Arabidopsis thaliana: one gene and its partner. The protein of the gene in region 1 interacts with the protein of each later gene in a pairwise test. Each region holds a gene or a part of one and is shown in the gene's direction. Other genes may lie near its edges.

The links. Proteins that work in one complex are often made in the same cells at the same time.
Region 2: the proteins of SHH2 (region 1) and AT3G22220 interact in a two-hybrid assay, tested with the Arabidopsis thaliana proteins (one large-scale study listed by BioGRID).

Annotation. Positions count from the first base shown.
Region 1 is NC_003074.8:6,310,176-6,315,075, reverse strand, and holds SHH2 (DNA-BINDING TRANSCRIPTION FACTOR 2), read left to right. Parts: upstream 1-1,669; 5' UTR 1,670-1,894; coding exon 1,895-1,948; intron 1,949-2,300; coding exon 2,301-2,386; intron 2,387-2,482; coding exon 2,483-2,528; intron 2,529-2,627; coding exon 2,628-2,829; intron 2,830-2,994; coding exon 2,995-3,070; intron 3,071-3,186; coding exon 3,187-3,238; intron 3,239-3,321; coding exon 3,322-3,465; intron 3,466-3,549; coding exon 3,550-3,669; intron 3,670-3,804; coding exon 3,805-4,074; 3' UTR 4,075-4,357; downstream 4,358-4,900. Other genes in the region: EMB1865 (CRS1 / YhbY (CRM) domain-containing protein), read right to left, coding at 1-179, 584-1,504; ATSYTF (C2 domain-containing protein), read right to left, coding at 4,820-4,900.
Region 2 is NC_003074.8:7,838,978-7,844,397, reverse strand, and holds AT3G22220 (hAT transposon superfamily), read left to right. Parts: upstream 1-1,523; 5' UTR 1,524-1,799; exon of another isoform or gene 1,800-2,038; 5' UTR 2,039-2,039; coding exon 2,040-3,846; intron 3,847-3,931; coding exon 3,932-4,136; intron 4,137-4,225; coding exon 4,226-4,419; intron 4,420-4,510; coding exon 4,511-4,590; 3' UTR 4,591-4,894; downstream 4,895-5,420. Other genes in the region: AT3G22230 (Ribosomal L27e protein family), read left to right, coding at 1-262; AT3G22210 (uncharacterized protein), read left to right, coding at 4,967-5,062, 5,150-5,263.

The DNA of each region.
Region 1 (4,900 bases):
CTTTGGTTATCTTTGGCATTTGTTGCTTCATCGCCAGCAGAAGATACATCTGGGACAAAAAGAGTCTCTTTAGGACCGGCCATTTGATTAGAGATCACAGGAGGTCCTTTATAGTCAAGTCCACGATAAACCACCATTACACTTCCGGCCCTCCATATCACCATTCCACCAGTTCGACGCTGCCCATTAGAGTAATTCAATCAGTTTTTTTTTAAACCTAAAGTTAAGACATGCATCTCCTGCACAGTCTTGTTACTCAAAGAATTCTAACAGCATGCTCAGCTCCATCCACTCTAGTTAATCAACACCTCAAATTCACCTTATTCACAACTATATAATCGTTCCCAAGAAAGATCTAACGTTTTTCACAAATTTCCTACTGTTATTATAAAAGCTTTATAACCATTCTATTTCAGAGCTTAGGTACTTCAGAGTCTCTTACTATCCTATAAAGATCATGTCACTTCCGCAAAGCTTATCCCCAATAGATAATGAAAACCGCTCTCTCTTGGAATAATCTCGCACCTCAAATTTCGCTAACCTACTGTTCTAATCAATGAAGTATTCAAGAGAACTAACGAACCTCAACAATCTCATGGGCCGTCTTCATGTCACGAGCAAGCACTTCGTGGAACTTTAGCCTCACAAGCTCTTCTTTCCTCCAAGTATCATAAATCTTCTCCATCACTGCCTGCGTTAGCCCAGCTTTTGGTATATTGATCCTAACCCTCAGATACATTCCATCCCTCCTTAACCGCCGTAACTCAGAATCCTCAACGGTGAGCTCCGCCAGTGATGGAGCTCTAGCTCTCCTCTTCTGCATCACCGCCACTCCTCCTTCTCCTACTACTCTCTCCGCCGCCTGCTCTTCCTCATTTTTCTCCCATGGCAATAATACCTCATCCTCTTCCTCACTCTCTTCTCCCTCAGCAAGCATCATATCAGGTCTCACCCACTCTCTCTTCAACAAATCCCCCAATCTCTCTTCTCCAGTCACCGGCTTCACATCTCCGCCGTTAATTCCACCTCCCTCGTCATCTTCCACATCGTCCTCATCATCCGAACCTAATCCTAAATTCCGTAGCCGAAGAACAATCCTCTCAATCGCGTTTTGTCCTTTATCCTTCTCCAAATACCGAAGTTTCGCTTCCGCTTCCTCCTCCGCAGACCGAATTCTATCTCCGCCGTTGTTTTCACCACCTTTCTTCCCGGCATGATCACCGCCAGCTCCGGAGGATGACGGAGGCCACTTATCTATCCAAGGAGGAGTAGGTTTATGATTACGTTGATCTAATCGACGATTGTTATTGCTCCTGTTGTTGCTACGCTCGCTTGTACGCAGCGAAGAGAATGGCCGAACAATTTGTTGACGCGAGGGTTTCACACCCAACGAATAGAAGAGCAATGCGTGAAGCGAAGGAGAGGAACAATAGCGAGAGCTAGAGGTCAGAGGAAGAGAGCTTCTCAGTGGCATTTCCGTAAAATTAAGTGGAGCCAAAGCCATTGACGACACTAAGAAATTTTTTTGGAAAAAAAAGCTTCAGCGAAGTGTCTTCTTCGCCATCGTTTTGGATACTGAGAAATAAGTTTCAGGCGGATAAGCTGGATTTACTCGACCATACGGATAAGATTTTTGTATCGGTTTTAGGAAAATGGGCCTTTAATGGGTTTTAAAAGCCCATTACTACATGTTAAGTTTAAAAAAATTACACAGGTGAAAAGTTATATAAGCGACGGAGTCGGGTCTGAGTAAAACCGGTTTCGTTGTCGTTGGGTCACCGGCCGTACTAGAGAGATTCACCGTGAATTCGAATATTAAGTGAGAGAAGCTCCGATTGATTTCACTTTCTGCCGCCAATTTTTGTTTTTTCTTCGGTGAGACGAAGAAGATACCATGGGTCGACCTCCCAGTAATGGCGGTCCGGCGTTTCGATTTATCCTGCCTGAGGTTTATCTCGATTCTTTGTAATGTGTTGCTTTCACGGATTTTGAGCTCCCAGAGCTGAAAAATCTGATTTTTGTGTCGGTTTTGTTCCTTAGGATTTAGGTCTTCTTTTTGGGTTCATGATAGGGTTTAGATCCTGAAGTCCAATTGAATTTTTGTAATTAGCTAGTAGAAACTTGAAGACAATTCGATGTATGTTCTGAAATCCATTGGCTTTACTTTATTAAGTAATGTTTAAGAGTTTAGATTTGATAATACATAAGTTTTTCTATCTATCTGTTGTTCTATGGTTTTGTGACTTCTTTTGAAGAGGTTTTATCTTGTTTGTTATAGCTAATCTTCAATTGTTATGAAGGTAACGGAGATGGAAGCAATTTTGCTACAGCATAATACAGCAATGCCAGGTCGACATATTCTTGAAGCTCTTGCTGATAAGTTTAGGTATTTTACTTGTTGTTGCTCAATTCCTTGGCCTGAAAGTGATTTTGTGTCTTTATCATCTAAAATGTGGTTACTTTTTGTTATCTGTTGTCTCAGTGAATCACCTGAGCGGAAGGGGAAAGTTGTTGTGCAGTTCAAGCAAGTACTGGCTTTTTCCTTCTTGATTCTTAAGTTTTATCAGACAGAGTCTGTTGGGTTTGCTTTTAAAAGTTAATGGGAATGTTGTTTTAATGCATCACAGATCTGGAACTGGTTTCAAAATAGGCGATATGCTTTACGAGCAAGGGGAAACAAAGCTCCTGGGAAGCTAAATGTATCTTCCATGCCGCGTATGGATTTACCAAATCAGATGAGAAGTGTGATTCAACCATTATCAGTTCCTAAAACCACTCATATGACTGGAAATTTACCCGGCATGACGCCTGCCCCTTCTGGTAGTTTAGGTGCTTTATTTATTCTACTCTCAGTAAAATAGGTTGAGAAGGTTATTTATTGGAATAGGTTTCATTGGTTTTTTCAGTTTTAGTTTTTTCTCCATAAGTCTAGATCAGTATGGCTGATATTGCACAGATGCCATTTTCGTAACTGTTTACTGCTTTTCCTCATAGTTCCCGGTGTCATGAGGAGTGGTTCAGACAACTCTTACTTGGAATTTGAAGCCAAATCTGCCAGGGATGGTGCATGGTGATTCCCTTGCATTCAATCTTCAGTATTTTTTTTGCTGACTTATGATACTTTGTAACAATATCATTACATTCCACTGGTTTTCTCTGATATGTAACTCTCTTGCTTACTTACAGGTATGATGTGCAAGCTTTCCTAGCTCATAGAAACTTGGAGATTGGTGATCCGGTAATTCCTAACCAACCTCTTGTTGACTTATTTGTTCCCCTTTTTTGTTTTGCTAACAACAATCTTTCTGTTGGGTATTTCAGGAAGTGCAGGTTCGATTTGCGGGTTTCGAAGTTGAAGAAGATGAATGGATAAATGTCAAAAAGCATGTAAGACAACGGTCTCTCCCATGTGAAGCATCAGAATGTGTTGCAGTTCTTGCTGGAGATCTCGTCCTTTGTTTCCAGGTTTAGAACTTCGCTCTCTAAGCATTTAGTGATAGGTGTCATGTTAGTTTATCCCTGACTAGAACTATGTTATAACATCTTCAGGAAGGAAAAGATCAAGCTCTTTACTTTGACGCCATTGTTCTTGACGCACAGAGAAGAAGACATGATGTCAGAGGTTGTCGTTGTAGGTTCTTGGTGCGTTACAGCCACGACCAGTCCGAGGTTGGACGATCATCTCTCTCTCTCTCTCTCTATCCCTTGCGGTTTTATTTACCCGTCAGCTCCATTTCATGGTTTAGACCATAAAGCAAAACCCTCCTCACTCACCTATTTTGGATTTCTTTTCCGTTATCCCAGCAGGAAATCGTTCCCTTGAGGAAGATTTGTCGGCGGCCCGAGACAGATTACAGGCTACAACAACTTCACAACGCCGTAAACGATTTGGCTAACTCAAATCAGCATCAGATACCCGCTCTAGATGCGGCTGCAAAAACCCCTCTGTCACTACCCGGAGCTACAGTTCCCATTGTTGCACCCGAGTCAAAAGATCCGAGCCTGAGTGCCACTCCAGCCACTTTGGTTCAGCCTAGCTCCAATGCAGCTACTGTTCCCGCTGGTTCAGCCTAGGCCATGTAATTTCTATCCCCGTTTGTAACAGCCATTTTTCACAGTTACTAGTAGAGGTTAACTTGGGATCATATGCATTGTACTCTCACACAATGAATTAGTCATCTAAAGCTGTATCATGCCATGTTACTTGATCCTTCATGTATGATGGAATATTTATGGTTTAGTCCGGTTTATTCATCATCTGTTGATGGTCACCGGTTTTTTACTCTTTTGAACAAACATGCTCGAATCATGTGGATTTATTCTTTTCAAGGCTTAAGTTTACAAGTTAGGAATCTTACCTCGAGTCATTTAGCTTTACAACATTTGTGGGGATGAGAAATTAACCAATTATTAATCTGAAAAATATCTCACTGTGCTGAGGAGACTAGATAACACTTGAGGTCAAAAGAACTATTTTGCTTCTGTAAATGACTGATCAGCCTAGACACAGAACAACAGTTTTACAAACAATTACAACAGTTTTTATTGTTACAGAATAACAAAGGGAATAATAAGAAACTTACAGATTTGATATGTTACATATCATATGTATCTAACTTTGTAACAAGGGCTCAACTCTCTCTGAACATTTTATCCAATGCCCCTACATATCTATCTATATACATCATAGATGATTGTTTGATCGGGAAAAACAAGTGACTACATTGGTGCGGGTAATCTCCGGTTATAGGAGGATCCTGTCCCCGAACCCGAGCCTGATCGAGATGGGGAATGAGACGGGGCTTGAACTGGGGACGAGTTAAGAATCTCGAGACGGGGCTTGAGCTGGGGATGAGTTAAGAATCTCCTTACCAAGGTCTTTGATCTTGTTGATAAGCAG
Region 2 (5,420 bases), 1.5 Mb from region 1:
CCCGAGCAAAGTCATCCGCAAAGACTCAGCGAAGAAGACGGCGAAGAAATCAAGAGTGAAATGTTTCATCAAGCTCGTGAATTACCAGCATCTGATGCCTACACGTTACACGCTCGATGTAGATCTGAAGGAAGTAGCGACTCTTGATGCTCTTAAGAGTAAGGATAAGAAGGTGACTGCTTTAAAGGAAGCTAAGGCTAAGCTTGAGGAACGTTTCAAGACTGGGAAGAACAGGTGGTTCTTTACTAAGCTCAGGTTCTGAAGAAGAACCTTTGAGATTTTTATCTATCTATCTACTTTTTGTTTAGTTCTAGAATGAATTTGGATCATTGTTTAAGACCTTTTGGTTTGGAATTGATTCTGGATTTTGTCTCTTACTTATAATCTTTTGCTATATTGATGCCTCATTTTATATATTGTCACTGGTTTAATAGCTGAATTGATTACATTGTGGAAATGTTGTTTAAGGTTATTGAAGATGGTCACTTCTGGTTTCCAATTTCGAGATGTTGGAGTAGTATTGAAATGGGTTTCTCTGTCAAATCATTTTCCCTGTAGCCATTGTAGTCAGTCCTAGAGCCATTGTAGTCTCTTTTCTTTACTTGTAGGAGCATATAGAGAGTCTTAGATGCATGTTTGAGTTGTCACTGTTGATTACTTGATTTCGTGTTGATGTTATGGTGTTATAAATAGAGTGTTTTAACTTTTAACGAGATAGGTGTCGAATCTTTCTTTAACCTTGCTGTTTAGATTGAAAAGTTAGGAGATTGTTACGATTGTGTGAGTGGCCATGTATTGTATAGCCTTTGTGTTAGTTGATTTTTTCCTTGTTCAGTCATAGAGACCTGTTGCAATATACGAGATTGAAAACTATTATGTGAAATTTTTGATTTGTGTACAAATACTTGTGACTCTTAAAATGAAACTAACATTGTACAAAATATCACAATGAAAGAATCACAGAACAAGGTCTCTCAACATTTTGATAATCTATTATACATGCACATTGTGGTTTCTGTTTAGCAAACATAAACGAATTTCAGAGATATAGAACGCAACAATGCAAGCCCTTGCTTCAACCGTATTCTTTAAACTCCGTTCATGTTCTAAGCTTTTTTTGACAAAACACATCCTCACACTAATACCGAAGCAAATCTAGTAAAACATAACAATCATTGTAATGTGAGTCAGCACTTGTGATTGGTCTTGAAGTATAACAAATGTTCTTGAAGTATTAACACATTTTGCTTTTTAATTTATCATTCAACTTTACCTTAATTAATTTATGATAAGACTTTGAAAAACAATAATTATCTCTAGATTCTACAATCTCATCCAATATTTTTGACCCAAAATCATTTCTATCTTTGAAAAGACAAATTAAAAGATACCCCACATGAAGTCACTTATCATCATATCAGACCTTATACTTTATACAAATAATCACTTTAGTCCTTAAATTAAAAACCGATTTAACCACAAAAACAAGTTTAAGCCAAAACAAGACAAAAAAAATAAAAAATAAACAAAATTTGTCGTTTTTATAAACCAGAAAAGCTGCCCAACTTCTTCTCCTCTCGAACCCTAACGAGCCGGGTCATCTCAAAAATTTCTCCGACATTGCATTCCTCCGTCGCCTTCAGATTCTTCTCCAGCGTTCCTTAATCTCTTCTTCTCCGGTCGATTCCACCTTCTTCATCCCCAAAACCGAAGTCCTTATACCGTAATTTTATCAAGTTTTTTACCGAACCGATTTCTTGCCGTAACCAACCCGGTCACAAACCTGCAAACCAAAAAAGGTTCGTTCTCTGTTCTTTCGATAATTCAAAAACTCTGAAATTTACGATTTTGCTGCACTGGGTTTTAGAATTTCGCTTTTCTTTGACGGGTTTGATTCAATATGATCCGATTTTTATCTAATCAACGAAAAGTTAACATCTTTGTTACGAAAGTTGTGAGCTTTTTTATGAAAGCTGATGAATTCTTCTTCTAAGTTTGATCTCGTAAATGTTTAATTGAAGGATCTAGGGTTTTGTAGGATGGATTCAGATTTGGAACCTGTAGCTCTAACACCACAGAAACAAGACAGTGCGTGGAAACACTGTGAAGTTTACAAATATGGAGATCGAGTTCAGATGAGATGTCTTTACTGTCGAAAGATGTTTAAAGGAGGTGGTATTACAAGGGTTAAGGAACATCTTGCTGGCAAGAAAGGACAAGGCACTATCTGTGATCAAGTTCCTGATGAGGTTCGTCTTTTCTTGCAGCAGTGTATTGATGGTACGGTGAGACGTCAGAGGAAGAGACGTAAATCAAGTCCTGAACCATTGCCTATAGCTTATTTCCCTCCTTGTGAAGTTGAGACTCAGGTTGCTGCTTCTTCTGATGTGAATAACGGGTTTAAATCGCCGAGTTCGGATGTCGTAGTGGGTCAAAGTACTGGGAGGACGAAGCAGAGGACTTATAGGAGTAGAAAGAATAATGCTTTTGAGAGGAATGATTTGGCTAATGTTGAGGTTGATCGAGATATGGACAATTTGATTCCTGTGGCTATTAGTAGCGTGAAGAACATTGTGCATCCTACTTCGAAAGAGCGGGAGAAAACAGTTCATATGGCTATGGGACGGTTTCTGTTTGATATTGGAGCTGATTTCGATGCGGCGAATTCTGTCAATGTTCAACCGTTTATCGATGCGATTGTTTCTGGAGGATTTGGTGTTTCTATTCCTACACATGAAGACCTCAGAGGTTGGATTTTGAAGAGTTGTGTAGAGGAAGTGAAGAAAGAGATTGATGAGTGCAAAACTCTATGGAAGAGAACAGGATGTTCTGTTTTAGTTCAGGAACTGAACTCCAACGAAGGACCTTTGATCCTTAAGTTTTTGGTTTACTGTCCTGAGAAAGTAGTGTTTCTGAAATCAGTTGATGCATCAGAGATATTAGATTCTGAGGATAAGTTGTATGAGTTACTTAAGGAGGTAGTTGAAGAGATAGGTGATACTAATGTTGTTCAAGTTATTACCAAATGTGAAGATCATTACGCAGCTGCTGGGAAAAAGTTGATGGATGTGTATCCTTCTCTATACTGGGTTCCTTGTGCTGCACATTGCATAGACAAGATGCTTGAAGAGTTTGGGAAGATGGATTGGATAAGAGAGATTATCGAACAAGCTCGAACTGTTACAAGAATTATTTACAATCACAGTGGTGTTTTGAATCTGATGAGGAAATTCACTTTTGGCAATGATATTGTGCAACCAGTCTGTACCAGTTCCGCTACAAATTTTACAACAATGGGAAGAATTGCTGATCTAAAACCTTATTTGCAAGCAATGGTTACATCATCCGAGTGGAATGATTGTTCGTATTCGAAGGAAGCAGGTGGATTAGCAATGACTGAGACTATCAATGATGAGGACTTCTGGAAGGCATTAACATTGGCGAACCATATAACTGCTCCGATTTTGCGTGTTTTGAGGATAGTTTGTTCTGAAAGGAAGCCTGCAATGGGGTATGTCTATGCAGCAATGTATCGAGCAAAAGAAGCAATTAAGACAAATCTGGCTCACAGGGAGGAGTACATAGTGTACTGGAAAATTATAGATAGGTGGTGGTTGCAGCAACCTTTGTATGCTGCTGGTTTCTATTTGAACCCAAAGTTCTTCTATAGCATCGACGAAGAAATGCGTAGTGAGATCCATTTAGCGGTTGTTGATTGCATAGAGAAATTAGTCCCTGATGTCAACATTCAAGATATTGTCATTAAGGACATAAACTCATACAAGAATGCTGTTGGGATTTTCGGAAGGAACTTAGCTATCAGAGCTCGTGACACAATGCTTCCAGGTACGCCATTTATTAATTGAATCTCAAAAAGATTTCATATGTTCAAGTGTTTTGTAAGTAGTTAAAACATGTTTGATTCCTGTAGCTGAATGGTGGTCTACATATGGAGAAAGCTGCTTGAACCTGTCACGTTTTGCGATACGTATTCTGAGTCAGACATGCAGCTCATCTATTGGCTCAGTGAGAAACCTGACATCAATCTCGCAAATATATGAATCAAAGAACTCTATTGAGCGACAACGGCTCAACGATCTTGTATTTGTTCAGTACAACATGCGCCTCAGACGAATGTAAGTTGGAATCTTTTGATCTTCTTGATTACTATACTGTCTTTTGTTCAAAACAGAACTTAAAAGGATTCTCTGTCTGTTTCCTCTAGTGGCAGCGAAAGCAGCGGAGATGACACGGTAGACCCGTTATCACACAGCAACATGGAAGTTCTTGAAGACTGGGTTTCGAGAAACCAAGTTTGTATAGAAGGAAATGGAAGCTCAGACTGGAAGTCACTCGAGTTCATTAAGAGGTCAGAAGAAGTAGCTGTTGTTATCGACGAAACAGAAGACTTGGGGTCAGGTAAAAGCTTTGCAGAACCTAGTTTTTGTGAATATCTTGACAAACATGAGAGAAGTTGTTTAAAAGGTGTTTTGAATGAAATGCGTAACAGGTTTCGATGATGCTGAGATATTCAAAGGGGAAAAGGAAGCGAGTTACGAAGGCGGTTATTCGGAGAATCTGTTCACTTGAACTTGCACCTTTTCCTGTAATCATCATAGGGTTTGATTTTGTGATTCTTTCTTAGGGTTTGATTTGTATTATTAATAGAAGTCTTTACCAGCTTTAAGTTGTATCCCAGAAACTAATAGTTACTCTTCTTCTTCTTCTTCCTCTTCTTCTTCTTTACTCAGTAATGAGAACAAAAACCATTTTAGAGATGTTGATTGATATTTACTAAAGCTTTCTCTCTTGTCCATATAATATTGTTTGGACATAAGCTAATCTTGATTCTTTAAAAGGATAAGTGAAAAAAAAGAGTTGAATTCAGATGCTATCTATATAAAGAGATATTATTATCCTCAAGAGCCTTATCCTGAAAGTTTGGTTCTGAGAAGAAGAGAAGAAAATGGAAGGGATAAGCCATATCGCACTCCCTGTTCTTGGAATCGTCGCAGTCTCGGTCGTAACATTCTATGCCGTTAGCTTTGCCGAGATCAGAGAGGTTCACTGTTATGAAACTACTCCTTATTCTCAACATTTTTGATCTTTTACATATAATTTTAAGAAAAAATCAAGTGTGTGTGTGCAGAAATCGTTTAAAGATGTGTACGACTCGGAGAACGAAGTTGGGTTCAAGACTTCTCTAAGTTCAAGGGAGAGAAGATCAAAGAGAGAAGCAAACAAAAAACGTCCTAAATCTTGATTCCAAAAATCACCATGATCCATGATCGTTTTGCTTTTCAATGTTCGTACAAATAAACAATTCAAAAGAGTTTGGTTATTGTTAACTATGGCTGCATTTTTGGTTTAGTAGATGATCTTGATCACATCGTCAGATGTTGTCCCATTATTGTTTATTC